Anolis sagrei: one gene and its partner. The protein of the gene in region 1 purifies or fractionates together with the protein of each later gene. This does not show direct contact. Links are inferred from orthologs where the notes say so. Each region holds a gene or a part of one and is shown on either strand. Other genes may lie near its edges.

Evidence for each region.
Region 2: the proteins of ATP2A2 (region 1) and PLN purify together in Homo sapiens (affinity purification with western blotting; 4 studies listed by BioGRID). This does not show direct contact. The link is inferred for Anolis sagrei from reciprocal best matches to the Homo sapiens genes ATP2A2 and PLN.

What each region holds. Positions count from the first base shown.
Region 1 is NC_090034.1:42,453,553-42,463,967, forward strand, and holds the start of ATP2A2 (sarcoplasmic/endoplasmic reticulum calcium ATPase 2), read right to left. Parts: upstream 4,655-10,415; 5' UTR 4,090-4,654; coding exon 3,972-4,089; intron 2,109-3,971; coding exon 2,091-2,108; intron 2,000-2,090; coding exon 1,917-1,999; intron 1-1,916.
Region 2 is NC_090021.1:89,032,822-89,043,593, reverse strand, and holds the start of PLN (cardiac phospholamban), read left to right. Parts: upstream 1-6,675; 5' UTR 6,676-6,772; intron 6,773-10,772. UniProt on the Homo sapiens protein: Reversibly inhibits the activity of ATP2A2/SERCA2 in cardiac sarcoplasmic reticulum by decreasing the apparent affinity of the ATPase for Ca(2+).

The DNA of each region.
Region 1 (10,415 bases):
AGAATTAGTAATCGAACTGACCAGAGATTTATGCTACTCAAAACCTTGAATTTGTATTGTTTGAAAAAGGAAACGGGTACTACAAATACAAGGCTTTGAGTAGCATAAGTCTCTGGTCAGTTTGCTTACTAATTCTACTTCCTATTACCATTCAAATTACAAATACATGAGCATGTACAAACCTTTATTTCCCATCACTCTCTACTGGTCTCCAAAATATATAAATCTCAACTCACACTTAAACAGATGCCCCATAGAACAAGCTGCTCATTCATTCAAAAAATGGTAACTCCATCACAACACAGTTCTCCTTGGTAATGAAAAAAAAATCAGAATGACTAAGCTGCCCGTTTTCACATGAAGAAACAGTGCCAACTTTTGGCTGGCTACAGTGATGCACATGTACTAGAATTGAAGCTTCATTTCTTTGAAATAGCATGCCAGCGTCATGACATCTGAAACCTTCACTGGGCAAGAATTAGCAACATACTACACCACATAACTGTACAAGTGATGACCCTTCTCTCCCGCATTTTTATCGTTCAGCATATCCCCACCAACTTAATACCTCTTCTAATGGTAAAACAAGACTGGGTTACATTGTGAGGTTACTTAGAAAGCTGCCATATATCAGCAGCACCTGGAGGAGAGCCAAGGTAGAAATTCCATATGAGCCAGGGCTGCTGAATGTGAAAAAGGACTTCTCAACCTCCATCTACCATCACAGCTTCTCAGTCTTGCTGAAATGCTGTTGGCATTTCCAGCAATCTATCATTTATTCTGTGCATGAAGCACAATGGCACATGCTTAGATGTGCTCAGGGAGTCTTCCAAATCCCAGCCCACTTTTCATTGTACAAAGCTATGGATATTATTCATCTCAATCTCCCCCTTTACACCATCCTTATCAAGTAGACAGGTAGCAAGATACCCTTGGCCAATATGAGCCTTAAGGATACAGCAGGTATTTGAACCTGGGCCTCTTACAATCAAACAATACATGTTCAGGTGCATCATGCACATCTCTGCATGACATTTCAGCTCCAACTTTATTGCTTTTTAAAAAGAAATCTGTAGTTATTTCTTTTTCAATATGTCGGAATGTGAATGCCTTAACCGCCCCCTATTCTATTTTGATCTTTCTTCATATGTATCATTCCTCCGCAATCACATGTTTGGCACCATGCAACATTAGCTCACTTCATTACTTTCTTTCTTTAAAAAATCAAGACCCCAGAACTAGTTTTACAGTCTCATCTACCAATTCAGAATGCAAGGCAAGGAGTTTATTTTACAAGAGGCTCCCCAAAGGTCAGTTACCAAATTTGGTCAACAATGGTGCCATCACTGCTGTCATCATTCTTGTCACTGTCAAGAGCAACAACTGTCACCTTGCTATTATCAGCAAGAGAAGGCAACTGGAATACTCCCCCCATGCAAATTCTATTTACAGTTTGCATTGCATCCAAAAAAAGACAGCCAGCAGTCCCTGTGAGTTTCATAACAATCAACTGCAAAAAGAATGCTAGTTCACCTTCTTATTGGGGGCAAGGTTAAAAGGCAAGAAAAAGCACTGAAGAACCTGTCTCAAATATCACAAACTCAATAAGACAGATGAAAATATTTATCCAAAACTAGCATTGCACACATCTGGTTTAACCGGTATGTAAACTCAACCCCATTCTAAGCGCACCTTTGCATTAAACCAATGTTCACTAATATTGAACTTGCTTTGAGAAACAATGCCTTGTCCTAAAATTGAGAGGTTATTTTTCCAGACAGGAAACTTGATGCTCAACCTAAGGCTAATTTTTTTTTTTGGGGGGGGGGGGGGTCATATTGCACCTTTAATTTTAACTATTTTTGAGAAACTTCTAACATAAATGTGGGAAAGTATAGATATAAGAAGATACTTACAAAAGATATGCATGCCGCCAGCAACAAAATTCTAACTAACAAATCTTCAAACTGTTCGATCACAAGCTCAAGTAAAGTTTTTCCTGCCAATATAAAATGCAAATAAAAGTTGTCAATGAAATACCAGTAAAGGGGATGGCATAAAGAGCACACATATTTCAAGAGCTTGCTTACCTTCTTCAGCTGGTAATTCTTTATGAGGCGAAGGTTTCCAGAAGGCATGGGGGGGGGGGGGGGAGGAATCAAGACAAAGATATTTAAAATAAGGGTAGCAATCATTTATCTTAGATACTGACAAACATTTACATTAAATCAAACATCACACACAACGCAAATGCTTCTTACAATGACACAGGCAGAGAAAGCCTCGTGCTTCCTATATTGTAGTATGCTTCAGCATCAAAGTAATGAGGTTACCAATTCAGCCAAGTCATCACTGCTGCTAACCATAACTTCTAATGCAGTTCAAAGGTTTCGAGCACTTCCCTGTCCCCACTTTCTCTCTAGGTCACAACCAAACATGGATTGACATGCCTCCACCTTTAATTTTTTCCCAGAAAGGAGAAGGGACAGAAGAAATTATGCCTATGTGGGATAACTCCCCATACTCCTGCCCTATAATTGGGTCCATCTTTGAAAGGGGAGGGAGAAGAATAGATAATTAGAAATATGCCTATATGAAATAATGTCCCATCCTCCTGCCCTATGATTGAGTCCCTCTTTGAAAGTGGGGGGGGGGGGGGTTGATAATTAGCAATATGCCTATATGGAATAACCTCATCCTGCTGCTCTATGATTGAGTCCCTCTTTGAAAGGGGGGGGGGGAGGGCATAAGAAATGAGTTAGCAACATGCCTATGTGGAATAACTCCCCTGTTCTGTGATTGGGTATCCCTTTGAAAGGGGGCAGAAGAAATGATAGTTCTCAATATGCCTATGTGGAATAACTCTACATCCTCCTCTGCTATGATTGAGTCCCTTTTTGAAAGGGGGGGGGGGAGATGAAATGATAGTTATCAATATGCCTATGTGGAATAATTCCCCATCCTCCTGTCCTGTGATTTAGTCCCTCTTTGAAAGGGGGGAGCAGGTGAAAAGATAGTTATCAATATGCCCATGTGGAATAATTCCCCATCCTCCTGTCCTGTGATTGAGTCCCTCTTTGAGAGGGGGGGGGGGGCAAAAGAAATGATAGTTAGCAATATGCCTATATGGAATAACTCCCCATCCTCCTGCCCTGTAATATATACCCTCTTTGAAGGGAGGGGGGGGGGAATAAATGATAGTTAGCAATATGCCTATTTGGAAAAAATCCCCATCCTCCTGCCCTATGATTGAGTCCCTTTGAAAGGGGGGTGCACAAGAAATGAGTTAGCAATATGCCTATATGGAATAATTCCTCATCCTCCTGTCCTGTGATTGAATCCCTTTGAAAGGAGGGGGGAATAATGATAATTAGCAATATGCCTATGTGGAATAATTCCCCATTCTCCTGTCCTGTGATACACTCCTTCTTTGAAAGGCGGCGGGGGGGGGGGGCAGAATAAATAATAGCAATACGCCTATATGGAATAATTCCCCATCCTTTCCCTCCTTGAAAGAGGGTTCTCCAACACATCATCAGGGATATGTTTGTTTGCTTGCCCTTTGGAAAAGACATTGAGAACGACGTCGAACAGGAAGAAGGGGCTGAGAGGAGGAGGAGGAGGAGGCCAAGAAGAATCCAAAAAAGGGGTGGCCTGAGTCTCGGGAGAGGGCCTCGGAAAAGGCCGGGAGGGAAGGCAAGCGTGGGGCTGGCAGGCGAGTGGGGCAAGTGGCCCCGAGGCGGGGAGGAAGGGAAACCCACGAGGTGGCTCGCACCGTCAGCCATCTTTCTTTTTTTTCTTTTTTCTTTTCCTCCTCCACTCCTTCCTCGTCCCTTTTCCCCCCCGGGTCCTGCTGGTGGAGCCGGGCCCAGAGGAGAAGGGGGAGGGATGGGGGGGGGGGCTTCAAGGGGATGGAGAGGATCTCCTCCCCGCCCTCCTTCCCTCGGGGCATCTCCCCCTGGAAGCCTTACCGTTGGCGCCCCAGCGCTCCTTGAGCTTCTTGACCTGCTCCAAGCTGAGCCCGGTGCTCTCGTTGACGCCGAAGTAAGCCAGCACTTCCTCCACGGTCTTGGTGTGCGCGTTCTCCATGGTGCCGGGAAGGCTCTCTCCTCTTCCCAAAGGGCGCTTCCTCCTTCCTCCTCCTCTGGCGGGCGGCGGCGAGAGGGACTGGCTCTCCTCCCTCCGCTCTCTGCCTCTTCTGGCTCTCTCCTCTCGCGGGCCCCTCGCTTTCCCGCCCCTCACGGAGCCCCCCAAGCCCTGGGCCTGGCCACCATGCGGGGGGTGCCCAAGCGGGCGAGCCGGGCGGAGAGGGAAGGGAAGAGCTCCCTCAAGGAGGAAGAGCCGCTGCCCCTGACAGGACTTGAGCTCGGCTGGAGGAGATGGAGGCCGCTGCCAGGCAGGCGCCAAGACGCGGCTGCCCTTCCTTCGAGGGAAGAGCGAGCTGAGCAACGTTGGGTGCCGCTTCCGTCCTCTCTCTCTCGCTCTCTCCCTCGCTTCCTTCCTCTCTCTCTCTCTCTCTCTCTGTCTGTCCCTCCTTCCCTCCCTCGCTGAGCCGGCCTCGTCCGCTCTAATAGAATTTATTGGAGCCACCTCGCCGCTGCCCCTCTCGCCGCCGCGGCATGTGGACGACGCTCATTGGCCGAGAGCTTGGAAGCGGCAGCGGCGGAGGGAGGTGGGGAGGAGGAAGAGGAGGAGGAGGAGGCGGCCCCTCCTCGTGACGTCACTCCCCCAGCCCGACGCGGCTGAGATTTCGCCACAAGCCGGCAGAGGAGGAGCGGAATGAAGGCCGGCTAATAGACATCCCTGAAGTCTTTTCTCTTTTTTTTCATTGCCCGCCCGCGCGTTGATTTTGCGGCAGCGCTGATGGAGCTTTCTCGTCCGCCGCTTGGGAAACGGCGCCGGCTGGAAGGAGTGGACGCGGGCGGGCGCCGAAACCAAAGGTTTTTTTTTTTTTGTTTTAATCTAAAGGAAGTGTCTCAGGCGTTAGCGGGCGGGCTTTTTCCCCCAGAATGTTTTCCCCAGAATTGGGGGAAGGGAGCTGTCCCTCGCCTCTCCTGACGTGACATTGATGGCTGTTGGCCTCTCTCTTTCAGCCCCCCCTGTGCTAGTCGAGAGGGAGTTCTTTCCAGGTCAAGGGGCTGGCCAGCCTGCCTGCCTGCCTCCCCTCCCTCCCTTCCTTTTTGTGTGGCTCGTGCTGAGGGGAGGAAGGAAGGCCGACCTCCCTCGGAGGAGCACTTCAGCCCACCACTTAGGACACCTTTGGCCACGCTTTGGCCTTCTTCTCTCGGCCGAAACTTTATTTCTTTTGATCCCACATTTCTGCCATGGGTGGGATTCAAAGCGACATACAAGACTAAAACAGTCAAAAGAAGCATAACATACGCATTCAACAAAAAACACCATCAAACCAATCGAAGAATAACACAATGCATACCATATATTTCAACCAAATTCATAAATTACAATATCTATCCATTCAAAATTGCCTAAACCTCAGACAGCTGAGTTCGCCTGTAAAAACAATTGAGTTAAGCTCGTCAAAACTCCATTTTTCTTTCGGTCGTATGAAAACATTGCCAGGTCTAAAATAGCTTCTAAATGGACATAACCACAGCTGTTTGGCCATTACCTATTTTAGGGGGTCAGGAAAGGCCTGGTCCCACAAAAAGGTTTTCATTTGGGTACAAAAAGCCAGTAAGGAGGGGGCCAATTGCTCCTCTCTAGGAAGGGAGTTCAAGAGCTGCGGGGCCACCATCGAGAAGGCCCTCTCTCAAGATCCCACCAATCACATTGTGACAGTGGTGGGACAGAGAGAAGGGCCTCTCTTGATGATGTCAGGCTTGTGTGGGTTCGTAGGAGGAGATGCGATCTCTCAAATAGACTGGGCCCGAACTGTTTAGAGCAGACATGGCAAACTTGGGCCCTTCAAGTGTTTTGGACTTCAACTCCCACAGTTCCTAAGAGCTTCAGGCCCCTTCCTTTTCCCTTTCCTTTTCCACTTAAGCGGCTGAGGAAAAGGAAAGGGCCCAAGGCTGTTAGGAATTGTGGGACTTGAAGTCCAAAACACCTAGAGGGGCCAAATTTGCCCATGCCTGGTTTAGAGCTTTATACGCTAAAACCAGCATCTTGAATTGTGCCTGAAAACAAACTGGGAACCAGTGTAGCTGCTTCAGGAGCAGAGTAGTTCTTTTCCTATATCCTGTCCCCATAAGCAGCCTGGCCGCTGACCTTTGAACCAGATAAGTTTCTGAACGCACTTCTGGGGCAGCCTCTCTCGTACAGTGTATTACAGTACTCTAACCTGGATGTGACTAAGGTGTGTACTACTATGGCCAGATTGGACTTTTCAAGGTATGGGTGCAGCTGGCACACAAGCTTTAACTGTGTGAAGGCCCTCCAAGCCACCGCTGACACCGGGCCCTCCAGGGTCAGCAATGAGTCCAGAAGGACCCCCAGACTGTGAATCTGTGCCTTCAGGGGAAGTGTGACCCCATTCAGCACAGGTTGCAGCCCAAGACCCCAATCAGCCCTATGACTGACCAGTAGTATCTCTGTCTTGTCTGGATTCAGTTTCAACTTGTTTGTCCTCATCCAGTCCATCACAGCTGACAGGCACTGGTTCAGGATCAGGACAGCAACGTTGGCATCAGGTGAAAAAGAGTAATAGAGTTGGGTGTCATCTGTGTACAGATGGCACCAAACTCCAAAACTCCTGATGATCTCTCCCAATGGTTTCATGTAGATGTTAAACAACATGGGGGCAGTATTGAACCCTGTGGGACCCCATAAGACAAAAACCATGGGGTCGAGCAGGAGTCCCCCAGCACCACCTTCTGCACCCGACCCTTTAGGAAGGAACAGAACCACTGAAAACAGTGCCTCCAATTTCCATTCCATTGAGGCAGTCCAGATACCATGGTTGATGGTATCGAACGCCGCTGAGAAGTCCACCTATCTAGTTCTCTTCGCAGATCCTCGACCAAGGCGACAAATGCCATCTGAGTCCTGTAGCCAGGCCTGAAACCAGACTTGGATGGACCTAGATAATCCATTTTTGGTTTTTTAAAACTTTGTTTTTTTCCTGAGGTGCAGGGTTGGTGTTCTTCTTATCCTGCTTTTCTCCCTGTCAGCGTGGAACACCATTTTACAGGATGAAAAAAATCAGCAAAAAACAAACTTTAAAATGGTTTTTTTTACTTTAAAAAAGTGGTACGTTTTATTGATTAGCCCATTGTCCATATCAAAACACTTGACAAACACGCTTGACACATACACATACAGCCTACAACCCACATTACAAAAGGTAAAATAAACAAGCTTTTAACAAGGGATCTAGATCCAGATCCAATATCTGCATCACCCCTACAATTTACCCCAATCGACTCCAAATATGCAGTTCTCAGCAGAGTTGCTTTATATCTAAAAAAGAGCTGTTTTGTATGCTACTTTAGCATTCTGGCTGGCCAATAAAATGTAGTTTTAATATAAGGACTCCAGTGTGTCCTTTGTATAATGAATAATAATAATAATGATAATAATAATAATAATAATAATAATAAACTTTATTTGTATTCCGTCCTATCTCCCCAGGGGGACGCAGGGCGGATTCCAACAAAGTAAAAAGGCAAAAATTTAAGGCCTTGATAAAACAATAGATACAAATACAATAAACAAACAGCAGAATCCCAGAATAAACCCACATCTAAAACCAAATGATAACAATAACACACAACCTAGAATTAAATAATAACATCACCTAACAATTAAAATTATACCTAAAATAAAAACATAAAAACAATATGTAAAAACCACCAAAATTCATGTACAATATTTAAAATTAATTTTGTGGCCAGTGATGTCTGGCCACATAATTATGATCCCGGGAATTGTGTGATCCGGGGAATTGGTTTCTGTCTTATACAAGTTGCAGCTAAAAAGTACACGTGTGATACCTTCTATGTCTGATGCTTCATGGATACAAAATTGTTCATTATATGGAACTTGGTTGAACCTTCCATGTTTGACCATTGTGTTCAGCTGTTCAAATCTAGTTGTGGTAAATACCCTCCTGAGGTGTTTAGGCATCTCTCTCTTTAGATATTGGGCTGTTTGAAAAGTATGTTTAAAACGACTTAGCCATTTCAATGAGCTGGGTTTACTGAGGGTAGCAATGTTTTTCTGAGCTTCAATATTCAGTATTGGTTGTGCAATAATTTTGGATCTCATTCCTCCAAGATTAGTGATTCCCAACCTGTGGTCCGTAGACCACCATAGGTCCCCAAGAATGAAAGGATGGTCCGCAGCCTTACCATTATTACACTGTTGCCTCGAAACCATGCAACAACGAGAGCAACTGGTCTTGCAAAACCCTCTTATTGTGCTGAGGCAACTGAGATGTCGGGAGGGGAGAGGCTGACTACCCATGAAAGATTACTACTACCACATCAGCTCTAGATTATTAAATATGGTTTTCTGTAAGTGAACAGATGGTGACTACTGGGTGGCATATGTTCTGTATCAGAGCTGATGTGGTCTATCCAATGCAATTTTCTGAATCAGCACCACAAATAACCAAACCAAATCTAAAGTTGACCGAACTTTTCACAGGAAAGGAGACAATTCAATGGAAGATAAAGCTATAATGGGAGGTAATAATAATAATAATTTTATTTCTTCCCTGCCACTCCTCGTAGCTTGAGGTGAGTTACAACTTCACTAAAAACACATAATCATATAAAGCATTATATAAAATACACATATTAAAACATATTTCTACAAATTACCTATTAAAATGCACAGAAAAAAATTAAACAAAAGTTTAAAATTTGTGATTAAAACTGGCTGGGTAGGCCTGCTGGAAGAATGGGTCTTCGGATGTGTTTTAAATTTCGACAGCTCATTGAGCTGTGGGTGCTCTTCCTTTGGCATGTCCTTCTATAATCTTCTTGGGCGGCCATTGAAAAGGGTCCTCTGGGTGGCGGTTCTGTCGGTAGCCTGGACCCAAACCATGTAGACCTTTAAAGGTCAAAACCAACCCTTTGTACTTTGCTCAGAAACTAATTGGCAACCAGTGAAGTGACTTTAAAATATGTATAATAAGCTTACTCCTAGATGTTCCCATAATCTAGGTGCTGTATTTTGAACTGGCTGGAGTTTCCAAACTTGGTACAGATGTAGCCCAACGTAAAGCACATGGCAGAAGTCCAGCCTTGAGGTGACCAGTGCATGCCCCACCATCTTTAGGTCCTCCACATCTAGGAGGCGCAGCTGGCAGATCAGCCAAAGCTAGTAGTAAGCACTCCTGATCTACTGGGGCTGACTCAGGAGCCCTTGTCTCAAGCTAGAAACACAAGTCTTTCAGGGGGCATAGGACCACATCCAGAACTGGTTGACACACCTCCATCCCCAAATTAGGACCCTTGATGGGAAGCCCCTCTGCTTGGTCTGATTCAATTTCAATGTGTTTTTCCTCATCCAGCCCATTACCTCCTCCAGGCATTCAGAGGAGACGTGTTATCCTTAGCTGAGACTGTTTAGAAAGGCATGGAGAAATATATTTGGGTGTCAACAGACTGATAATACCCCACCCCATGCCTCCGGATGATCTCTCCCGGTGGTTTAATGTAAATGTTAAAAAGCATTGAGGATAGATTGACCCCTTGTGGGATGCCACATCACAGCTCCCTTTTGGAGGAGCAGCAATCCCAGGTCCAGCTAGGTAAAGCTAGCTGGCTTCAGAGAACTGGTGTGTTGTGTGGTTTGGAGTGCTGGACTAAGATTCTGGGAGACCTGTATTAGAATCCCTGCTCTGCCATGGAGATTCCATGAGTAACCTTGGTCGAGCTACATTTTCTCAGCCTCAGAGCAAGGCAATGGCAAGTCATGCCAATGACCCCCTGTGACCTGACCGGCATAAATTGTAAAATGACTCGGAGGTATATAGCAACAAAAGCTACCATATATTGCATCCTTCGCTGAAAAGAAAATGCTTCCTAGTGCCATTTGCTGTGGAGAACATGAGTGGGAGAGTGCTCTTGTCCTTGTGCGCTGCTGTGAGATTAGAAAACAACTAGATAAGGTTACAACTGATTCAACATGGCTCTACTTAGGCTCTGAAGATTGTGTCCCAACCTAAAATAACACCATTTATATTATCATCATTATCAGTAGTAGTAACAGTTGAAGTACTGTAGGAGCAAATTGGAACTGAAAGGTCAAATTATTGTGTGGGAGGGAGTTCTGTGTCGGAAAGTGCTACTCTAAGCCTTACACCCTGTTCTCCTTTCGCCAGCAGGTAAAACCCTTTTTATTTAAACAGGCATTTGAGGATTTGCGCAGAGCCTTTTATATTTTTATTTTCATAGTTTGGTTTTTAAATGATTCATTTTTTTTTGCAGATTTGTGGGTAATGTGAT
Region 2 (10,772 bases), on another chromosome or scaffold:
GGCGAGGGAGGTGGGCAGCTGCCCACCCACTGGAGCAGGTTGTGGCTCCCACAGCAGCTGAAGCAGAGACCAATGGGACCCCGTGATATCCAGCATATAAGATGACTCCCCATTTTGTATATTATTTATGGGGTTCAAAAGTCGTCTTGTACACCAGAAAATACGGTAGAATAGAATACTGCCCCCACACTGAAATAAGAACCACTTATTCTGTTCATGTAGTATGAAAAGAGACATTTATATTGCTTTAGGCCGAAACCTGATGTATTCTCCACCTTAGCCTCCATGAATATTAATTAAACATTCCAGCTATTATCCTCTATGCACCTAACTAGGAATAAAGCTCATTTAAATCGGGGTGGGATGGTACATTTGAATTAACATGTGAAATATTACATTTTAGTGTTTTATTGTTTACTGAACTGAGCAGAGTTACACTTGACAAAAGTTTAAATCCTATCTATCCTTACTTGAGAGTAAGAATTACACCATCCCTGAGATATAAATGAGGGAAAGGATAAATGAGGGAGAGGACTCCCACAAGGTAGTGTGTGTGCGTGGGGAGGGGTGGGTCAAACGTGGGTTTTGTTCAACCATCAACAGTACTCTGCCCGTAACTACAGCCAAATACTTGTCTTCATTGCCTCGTCCAGCAATGAAGTTATGGATTTCTATTCCCCTTAAACAATGGGCAATGGTTATGGTAACTTCAGAAAACTACTAGTAGTTACATCAGTCTTCATCAACCTCTTACCCTACAGATGCAATCCTACCATGCCTGATGAGGATTGTTAGGGCTTGGTAAGATCTGTAGCCAAAAAAAAAAAGACTAAAAAGGATAGGTATGTTTTTTCCCTTTTCCTAGGTGTACATGCAGCCCAGTGAAGAATAGTTAATTGTGCATATCAATTTATTTTAGCCTGAAAGGCTCAGAGCATGTAATACTTAACTTGGAGTGACCAGTTAAGTCTTAAAAGGCTATGCTTCCTGAGAATTATTCAACATAGCTGGACAAAACTAGAATGCTCTCTTTGTAAAAATGTTAACTATGGTTTAAAAACTCTAACAGTTTGAGTGACAAATGTGATCTTTGGCCTGTAGTCTATAATTGCTGTTAAAGTGGAGATAATCCAGCTCCAAAATTCTTGGTTACTAGAAGAGTACCCCAACTGGCTTTCCAGCCTTTTATCTCCCCTTCATATGCCTTTGCCTCTGCGTTCATCCAGCACTCATAACATGTCAAAGAACACAGCTAATCTCACTGCTTCCTGGAACAGTTTATCAGAAGAACACTCAACACAGCTCTGAAGTTACAAGCCTCTTAGCACATCAACTAGTGCTGTTTTGCCAAATATGTGATGTTTTCTACAGCAACATTTTACACCACAGTTGGGAGTAGAAGAGGATTGTGAATTCATATTGTTCAGTTCATGCAAACAATCAAGTGTTCAACTTTGTTTCTACAAGTTTTCTAAACAGGGACAAAGAAATCCAAATGCTATTAAAATGTAGAATTAGCCAGCAACGAGGTAAAATTTAATAGATTCCTGACTCTCAAATGCACAAGGAGTCCTGAACTGATTTCCAAAGCACTTTTCTATTCTCATAATTCTGATTACAAGTTAATTATATCCTTTCTATATATGAATTCTATAATGATTATCTCAATCTTGCCATGATTACACATGTTCAAACATTAATTGCTGTAAATAAAACACATATTTAATGAACAGAAAAGGGGGATTATGAAGCATTGAGCACAAAAAGATCACATATATCACATACACATAAAATAATTACACAAACAATCAAAGTTTATTTGAAAACCAAACTTATCAGAAAACTTCTGGAAAAGTATTGCTTAATATCAATTTCCAGCTTCACAATAAAACAGAGTACTGATGATTTTCAGTGTTTTCTTCTCTTTTTTGCTACAGGGGGAAGAAATATTATGTTTGCATATTATCTTTCACATTCTTTCAAATCTAGTCCAGGGTATAGAACAAAGAATTAATAGCATTCTCACACTCTAGCATAACATTCTAAATTTGGTCTTATTTGTTATTAGTCAACGAAATGTTCTGGTTGTGTTCCCAGTGAATATTTTCCTTTTTTCTAAAGCAATAAATTGTTGTGCTTTTTTAAAAAAGAAAGGCAACTTTAAATAAACCAAGGATCTCATCAGGAAAGCAGCCTGGAAAAGAAATGATAGAACCAAATAAGAAAACTCAGACACAGCTAAAAATCCAATCCCAAGACCATCTTTAAAATTGCCTCTTTTCAGAATATTGATAATAATACTTATTATTTTTCAGGTGCTTAATTTGTCAAACAGCAACCACTTATGTAAACTGAAGCAGACTTAACGTTAAACATGCCTTCACCTGAATAATACCGTTATTACAGTCTCATGAGGTAGGCTGCTTTTTCCTCCTGTGCTTAAGGCAGGTCTCAATTCCGTAACAGACACAAATACATGAAACTGCTTATTCTGATGCACCAAGAAATTCTTAAGTTGATTATAAGGCTTCTAATCCATATTGATATTCTTCAACATGTGATGCGAAGGGTTTAAGCCTACAAAAACAGCTTGTCTTTATGGCTCCCACAACAAGCACTTAAATTTGAACACTGGTGCCGCAAACCAGAGGTCTTGGGCATACAGAGAGAACAGCAACTTCTAGGTGTGGAATCACAACATTCTGAGTGGAGTAATGTGATACTAAATGTTTGCTGTAATTATGCCAAATATGTTTCAATAACAAGGTACAAAAAGACTTCCTTCTTACATGTGATCTTCAGTTTTCTACCAGATCTCTAAATAAATAAAGAGAAGCATCTCCAGTGGTAGATTCCTAATCCCTCTGGAGAAAGCCCAGATCATTTCCATTTAAGGCCATGTAAGCAGCAGCTGCACATATTTGTCCCTTGAAGAAAAAGGAAACCGACCCAAAGTTTACACACATATACTGTTTATATATATGCAAGCATTCAAAGTCATTTAATAATTTTCTGTTTTTTCCCAAGAAATTAAATGTATGACATCTTTTCTGAATTCATGACTCATCTTCAGAAAGTTGTTTTCTCTCTTTTCCATAAAATGTAGGCTATACACACATACCTTTTGCAAATAGCAAATGTAGTCACGGATGGGGAACATTTATTTGCAATCTACTCCAGGAAGTAGGTCTGGATAAAACATTAACATTATATGTCAGGTGATAAGAGAATAGTTATGCAAGCTGATGTTATGAAATATTTACAACACAGGCATATGTCAGTAAACAAAGTCCCTGACAAAGAAACGACTTTTTACAAAGTTGTTTTATGCCTGCCCAGCCCCTATTCTTCCTTGTCCTCTGCCCAGTGAAAAGTTTTTTAGTAGCCCTGGAAATGGGAATGACAGCTGGAAAAACAAAACTTTTACTGTTGGGTTCCAGAATCATATCTGTAGTAAACAATGCAATAAAGCTTGAACAATGAAGGAACAGGATTCAGCTCCACAATCCAACTGTATGCTTCCTTACAATAAGTAAGGAAAACAACACCTGCATTTGGAATTCATTCCTGGGCATACGTAAGCAGAAAAAAGAAGAAAAGAGAGAGTAGATATGCCTCACCAGCTTCTTCAAGCCTATTCAAAATGCATGAATTTATAAATTTGACTACCAGAATAGAATTTATTAGAAAAGTGGGGGCTGGTGAATAAAAAATATAATCTCTGGTTGAATTTTGGAAACAGTCTTTAGATTCCAAATGCTTTTAGAAGATTCTAAATGATTTTTTTTTAATCCGTGTAAAGGCTTACCTTGATCTGGTTGTCTTATTTCATATGTGCATATCTTTAGATCTGAATATAAAACAAGCTGAAATAAGTCCAAGCTACTTTTTTGTTGTACTGTATAGGAAACTATCCCTATTATTTCTTTGTTTTTTTTTTCTGTCTCTGGTACCAAAACCTACTCCCAACCACTGAAGGCAGACAGGGATCTTTTGGAAACCTAGGGCACCAGATCTAAGTCCTGAGAGGTCAATGCATCTTTTGAATGTTTGAATGGAGACCTACCCGTGGCTTCTCTAATCACCACAATCAACTGCAGGATGGCAAAGTGTTTCTAAAACTACAAAAAAAACCCCCCAAAAAAACAAGTAAGGTGGGTTACTAAAAAAAATTCAGCTGTAGGTGTATATCTTCATAGATTATTTAGGATCTGAAAATGCGTGGGTGTGGAAGAATGCCCTAGCAAGTTAATTTTATTGGTACAACAGCTGATAAGTAAGACAAGGTGTTACAGATCTGCAGTTGAACACTTGCAAGTTCACATGTGTATGACTGATCAATCACAAACATCATTTATTAATCTGTGAGGGAAGGCCTGGATCAAGTTACTTCTAAGTGACATAAACAGAACTGGCTGCAAGGATCATTGGTTTGAGGTCTGGCATGTAGGCATGTACATCTAGGACTGGTACTTGGGTACTATTATTTTTCACAATATGGTGAATTCAAGTCTTCTGATGTACTGATGCCTTGTGCCAACATACTAGAATATATGGCACAGCCAAACAGATGCAATCCATTTGCCAAGTTTCTGAGTCTTATGGACTAAAACATTTGCTTTGCTTCTCAGTACATCAAGGTTTCCAAGGCGATTCACAACAGATCAAAACAGATCAAAAGTTATTTAATAACAAATGAAAAGAAATGTAAAGACATGTTTTAAACACACACACAACAAAAAAGATCCCGAAGTCAACTCTGGTTTTAGGGATCAAAGGCCATACAAAACATGGCAGGCTTGGGTTGTTGGTTCAAATAAGATGGAGCCAGACTATCTTCTCATAGGAGGGAAGTGTGCAAGAGAAGTGCTACAACCAAACAAGTCCTGTCTCATATAGTCACCAACGTAGCAGTCTCCAGGTGGTGGTACATGCAAAGAATCTCCACAGAGGAACTCCTATTCTAAGCAGGCATCTAAGTTTGAAATGTGTGCATGTATTTAAGGTGTGCAGAATCACTTCAGGATGGGTGGGGGGACACTTGTTATAGGCCAGATGTTACCTAAGATCTTGGCCAGATGTTACCTAAGATCTTGGGATTCGAGCCAAAGTGCAAAATTAGATTTTGTTTCTCCTCTTTTTTCTCAGCTTATTTATTTATTTCCTATATTTATGCCCCACCCTTCTCCCCTCAAAAGGGGACTCAGGGTGGCCTAACAAAAGCATCATACAATGCTACCATCATAAAAACATTAAAATATTAAAAATTAAAACAACAATTAAAACAATTAATTAAGGCACATCCATTAAAATCGAAATCCAAAAACCAGTCCGGGTCAATTCATTGCCATAAGTTGTGTGATCTTCTTCCACTTGCTGCTCACTGATCAAACGCTTGGTCCCATAACCAGGTCTTGATTTTCCTTCTAAAAGACAAGAGGGAAGTGGCCAATCTGATATCTCTAGGGAGGGCATTCTATAGGCGGGGGACCACTGCTGAGAAGGCCCTGTCTCTTGTCCCCATCAACCGTGTTTGTGATAGTGGTGGGATCGAGAGCAGGGCCTCTCCTGAAGATCTTAAACTTCATGATGGTTCGTGGCAGGAGATACATTCGGACAGGTAGTCTGGGCCAGAACCGTTTAGGGCTTTAAAGGTTAATACTAGCACTTTGAATTGTGCTCGGAAGCTGATCGGTAGCCAATGGAGTTGGCGTAACAAAGCAGTTGTATGTTCCCTGTACGTCGCTTTGGTGAGCAACCTGGCTGCCGATCGTTGGACTAGTTGAATCTTCAAAGGCAGCCCCATATAGAGTTGGGTCAGTGTAGCCAGCTTTGCTCCTCCTATTTATTCAATGCACTATCAGTAGTCAGAGGTGATAGGAGCTGTTCTCTTTTCATTTAACTGGAGGTAGCAAGGCTTTGGGAAGACAACTCATAGCACAGATTAAGTCCTCAAGAGTATTGCCTTCCCCCCTTCATTCAAAATCACAGCAGCAGTACAGAGCCAACTGCATGGTATGGTGAACTACTGTCTTGTCCACTGAGCTATCTCATGATCACCATTAGCACCTGTAAGAGCAAAACATGTGTTTGGGTTTTTTTAATGTTCAAAATAGTTTTACAGAACAGAGGAAGTACAACTGTAGTTGTTGTGTGCCTTCAAATCATTCCTGATTTATGACAACCCTATCACAGGATTGTCTTCGCAGAATTTCTTTCATAGAAGATTTGCCCTTGCCTTTCTCGACTGAGAAAGTGTGGCTTGCCCAAGGTAATCAAGAGGGTTTCTATGGCATAGCAGGTATTTGACCCCGGTGTCCCTGCCTAACACCCAAGCCACCACACCACACTGGCTCTCAAGAAATAAGAAAAGGTATTCTAGTTTTCATCACAATTAGAACTTAAACCATAAAACTAGAAATGACTCTGTCACCACCTGTATTATTGGTAAAATCCATCATCATGTCTTTGTTCATATTTCTTTAATTTACAAGAATATAAATGGCTTTTCACCCCTTCCACTGATAGTTCAAATATTAAACATCACTGTTCTAAATGTGGCTGGCCCTGTAACGTCCCTGGTCTTATAAAGGCTCTTCTATAACCAATCAGCAGAGAAACATTCCTGAATGACATCATGAGCCCTGCCTATGAAACTTTTGTTATTTTTTCCCTCCAACAACTTCAGTTGTTCCCACAAAGCCGATGACAGAGAACGCCTTTCCATATCCCAGGAAATAGCATCATACAATTAAGTAAAACAGTTCCTGAGGTAAGAGTATTTGCTTTATTACTAACACACTAGGAGTTGTGTATTTCTAAACTACCCTATTAAATCTATAGCTTTTGTTGAGAAAAAAACAACCTGATACAAAACTCCGACCAGTTGCCTTCTATATCTCTGTAGATTTATCTTGTAACATATACAGACGTAACAAGTACTTCTAAACGGCATGTATGTCTCTGAAAAAAGAGGGAAATTGGGAAGAGGGGGGCAGGAGCATGGTATAAAAATTAAGTCAAGCTGTATTTTAGCACTTTTTTTTCCTTTAAGGAGAGCTATTAGATATCATCACATTCACAACAGCAGAAATACTTAATATTGCTCATCTTCTTTCTGGTCTCTCATTTTTTTGTTGCAAATCAATATGGTAATACATTACCTTTTTTATTAATTAATTTATTATTAAAGCATTTATATTCTACCCTTCTCACCCCAAAGGGGACTCAGAGCGGAGCACAACATATAAACGGCAAACATTCAATGCCGAAACATAACTAGACTATACACATACATAAACATTAAAATCAATTATCTCAACATTTCTTCTTGGTAACTGACTCACTTGTAGCATTAATTGTTATTGTTTGGGGATTATTATTTTTTACCACAACAATATATTTTATACAAATATTGTCTGGGATCCAGACAGTAACGTAAGGAAACCCAGATTCCCTCATGTTTCATGGATTTTTTCTTCCCCTCCCTTTGAATATCACATCTACTGCAAATAATCATATGGGAGGGATGGTATTTAAAATACAGAAGCCCAAAGGCTTTCTTGTCACACAGATCTAGTAGCCTAGATTATGGATTGTAACCAGCAGCTGCAAGTGGGAAAAATCCCAATAAAGTCACCTGGATGGAAACACTTCAGTGTTGTGCTGTCTTGCAACTAATGTCATAAACAAGCTATATATTTCAACAATTGTCTGCATACATATCATACAATATAAATTGATAACTGTATGAATAATGTATGCTTTTCTCAACCAACGAAGTGATTCATTAAAAGTGCCTCCTAATTATAAACCTAATTATAATCATAAATAAAAATAGGGAAAGCAGAAAAACTGATAAGTCTCAACAATAGAAAGGCAGGCAAGCATTTAAATCCATTTACAAAACAATCTTTATATGTGTTTGCTTGGAAGAAAGTCTGATTACATTCAAATACATGTTATTGAAATATAAAATGTATAAAGGATTGCAGCCTTGGAACAGATACATATTATTACTGGGCCAATAAAAAACTATTCTAAGAAAAAGGAAACACTGAGCATTTCTGAAACTTATCCCAATAAAATGCAAACACCTTTCTGCCCCCTGTTGCAAGATATGTGACCAGTCGCATAAATTAATGTACTGAAAGGTTACAATAAGCATGCCAGGAGTACACTACTGCTGTTACAATAGAAAACATAACTGAAAACCATTCCAAAATTATAGAATTGTTATTAAATTGTTAATTGTTATTAAAATTTCAGTGGAATATGCTTATTTTCCCCACACTTAAACTAACAAAATCTGATCCACTTCCACAAAGACATTCCTATTAAGATATAAAAGAACCAAGAAAGAATCACTGCAATGATAAAAAATTAATGTTTTGATTTCTTACCCTGATTTTTTTTTAATGGATAGCTGTTTTTTTTAAAATATCAGGGAAAGATACCAAAGCATCTCATTTTCTCAGATGGTGATGGGTAAAATCTGAGCCAATGCTTATTCTGAGCCAAGATCTATTCTTTCCTAGGTAGTCCCTGTGAGCTAGCTCAACATTTTAACAACTTTTAGTAGGTGTGTAGAAAACAAATCACTCTGAAGCTTTTCTCTTTGGAAAAAAAACCCAAAAAATCCTCCCTGTTCTTATTTTATCATGATGACACAAAGTGTTTTTCTACAGTCACATGAAAACTACAGCTTTCCCCTAAACCACTACGATTTTCTCTTAGGAATTTACGTCAGCTTCTTTTATTATTGTATTTCACCTTCTTTTTAGGTGTGCCACTTGAGTGCCCTCAGTCCCGTTCCCCACAAGTCCTCACATCTTTCTGTTATCAAACTTTGCCTCCACAACCACACTGTTTTTGTTGTTTTTTTTACAACAGTCTTCTGAAATATCCCCCTGTTACTTCAATTTTATTAAGCTTTTTACCTCTGTTTATTTCCTGTCCCTTATAACTGATGCTTCCACGGTGCTCATGGTGATGCGTTTTCCCAAAGAATTACCACCAGGCTCTTGACTGAACATCTCTTGCTCATCCCAACTGATCTAACTAGTGCCACTGCTTACATGAAAATTAATCATGTTTGTTGTCATTTATACAACACAGATGGGAGTCAGATAACCTGGGAATATACAATTAGGGAATTGCTAGGAAAGAAGAGTTACTTTTTTTCAAATTACAGTACACGCAGACCTCTGTATCCATAGATTCGGTATCCACAAATTTGACCACCCACACTTTGAAAACATATAAAAAGATTCAACCATCAGTAGCTTGAAAAATATATATAAAAAGAAATCCAAACAGCAGACTCTGATTCTGCCATTTTATATAAGGTACATAACTGTATATAATGGGATTTGAGCATCCACGGATTTTGGTATACGCAGGGATCCTGGAACTAAACCCTATCAGACACCAAGGGTCCATCATATGCTGAACCGTTATTATAGTAGTAGTTAGACCATAGGTCTTTCACATATAGGACAAACAAATACATAAAAACCAGATTATTAAATACAATATAAAATACACCATTAAAGACTATTTAAACCATTAAAATGCTATATCTATCAATGAGTTCTATCCTTTACAATCTGCTGCTTTGGGACAGCATTAGCAGTACACTGGGGACCTCTAGTGGTATATTGGGACACTATTAACTAAGATCTTGCTTGGAAGAAAACTATCTAAGAAAACAAGGAGTCTTGTGGCACCTTAAAGAGGGAAAAAGTTATCTTTGGCATAATCTATTGTGAAACATGTTTTCCCAGGATCTCATACTGTTCTCTACACTTCCCTTCCTTTCAACACCAGTGACCCCTTTATTGTTTTAAAAAAAACATTTCTTTTTCTATCCTAACCACCACCCTTGAAAAAAGTTTGACTTGGCAGTAGTTTTTGTGGGTTGCAATCCATGGAAACATATGAAAAATAAGGTCTGACATTCTTTAAAAGGGCCACAAGATTCTCTGCCTGTTTTGTTAACCTAACACAGTTCCTGATGGTCTAGCCCTCATTGGAAATTTCTTGTAAAACAATTTTATTTTTCCAAAACAAAAGTGACATCACTGAAATCTTAGACATTTTAGAATGTTTTATAAATTCAACAGGTTTGTCTTCTTATTTACTTAACAGCATTTCTGCCCCAAATTGGATAAACTGCTTTCACCTCAAAACTAAAGCTTTTGGGGTACTTCAAAAATACAACCTAAAACCATAGCATACATTAATATAATTAAAAAAGATGAATTATAAAGCAGATTAAAACAGCCGAATGATAAAATGAAAGAATATATACATTTAAAAAGGGACAAAAATATTTCAGCTGGGTACAACATGATCTGTTATAAAGTGCCTTTAATGGTCGGGGCTCCACAGGCAGCACACTGCTTCACTGTGAATATCCAACACATTATGGTTTTATGAGTGAATTGACTTTATGTTTAAGTTGTGTTTTTGGAAAACACAAGCTAAGGATTCCAAGTCCATCACTGCTTTGTGTTTTGAGCATATGTTGATCTAAATTCTTGAACAAATCCAGGGGTAATGATCCCATGCAGGGAATGAAATGTCCTCTGTCAAGGAGTGCCATGGGAGTGGACAGAAAGATGAAAGAAAAAAAATAGGGTGTGAATCCAGAAGCAATATATTTTTGAAGTGCTGGCTCCAGCAAGGTGGTCAGCATAAAGAGGATCACATGTTCAAAATATTATGTTTCTGTTACAAAATATAGTGTTCACAAGATGAAGCAGAAATAG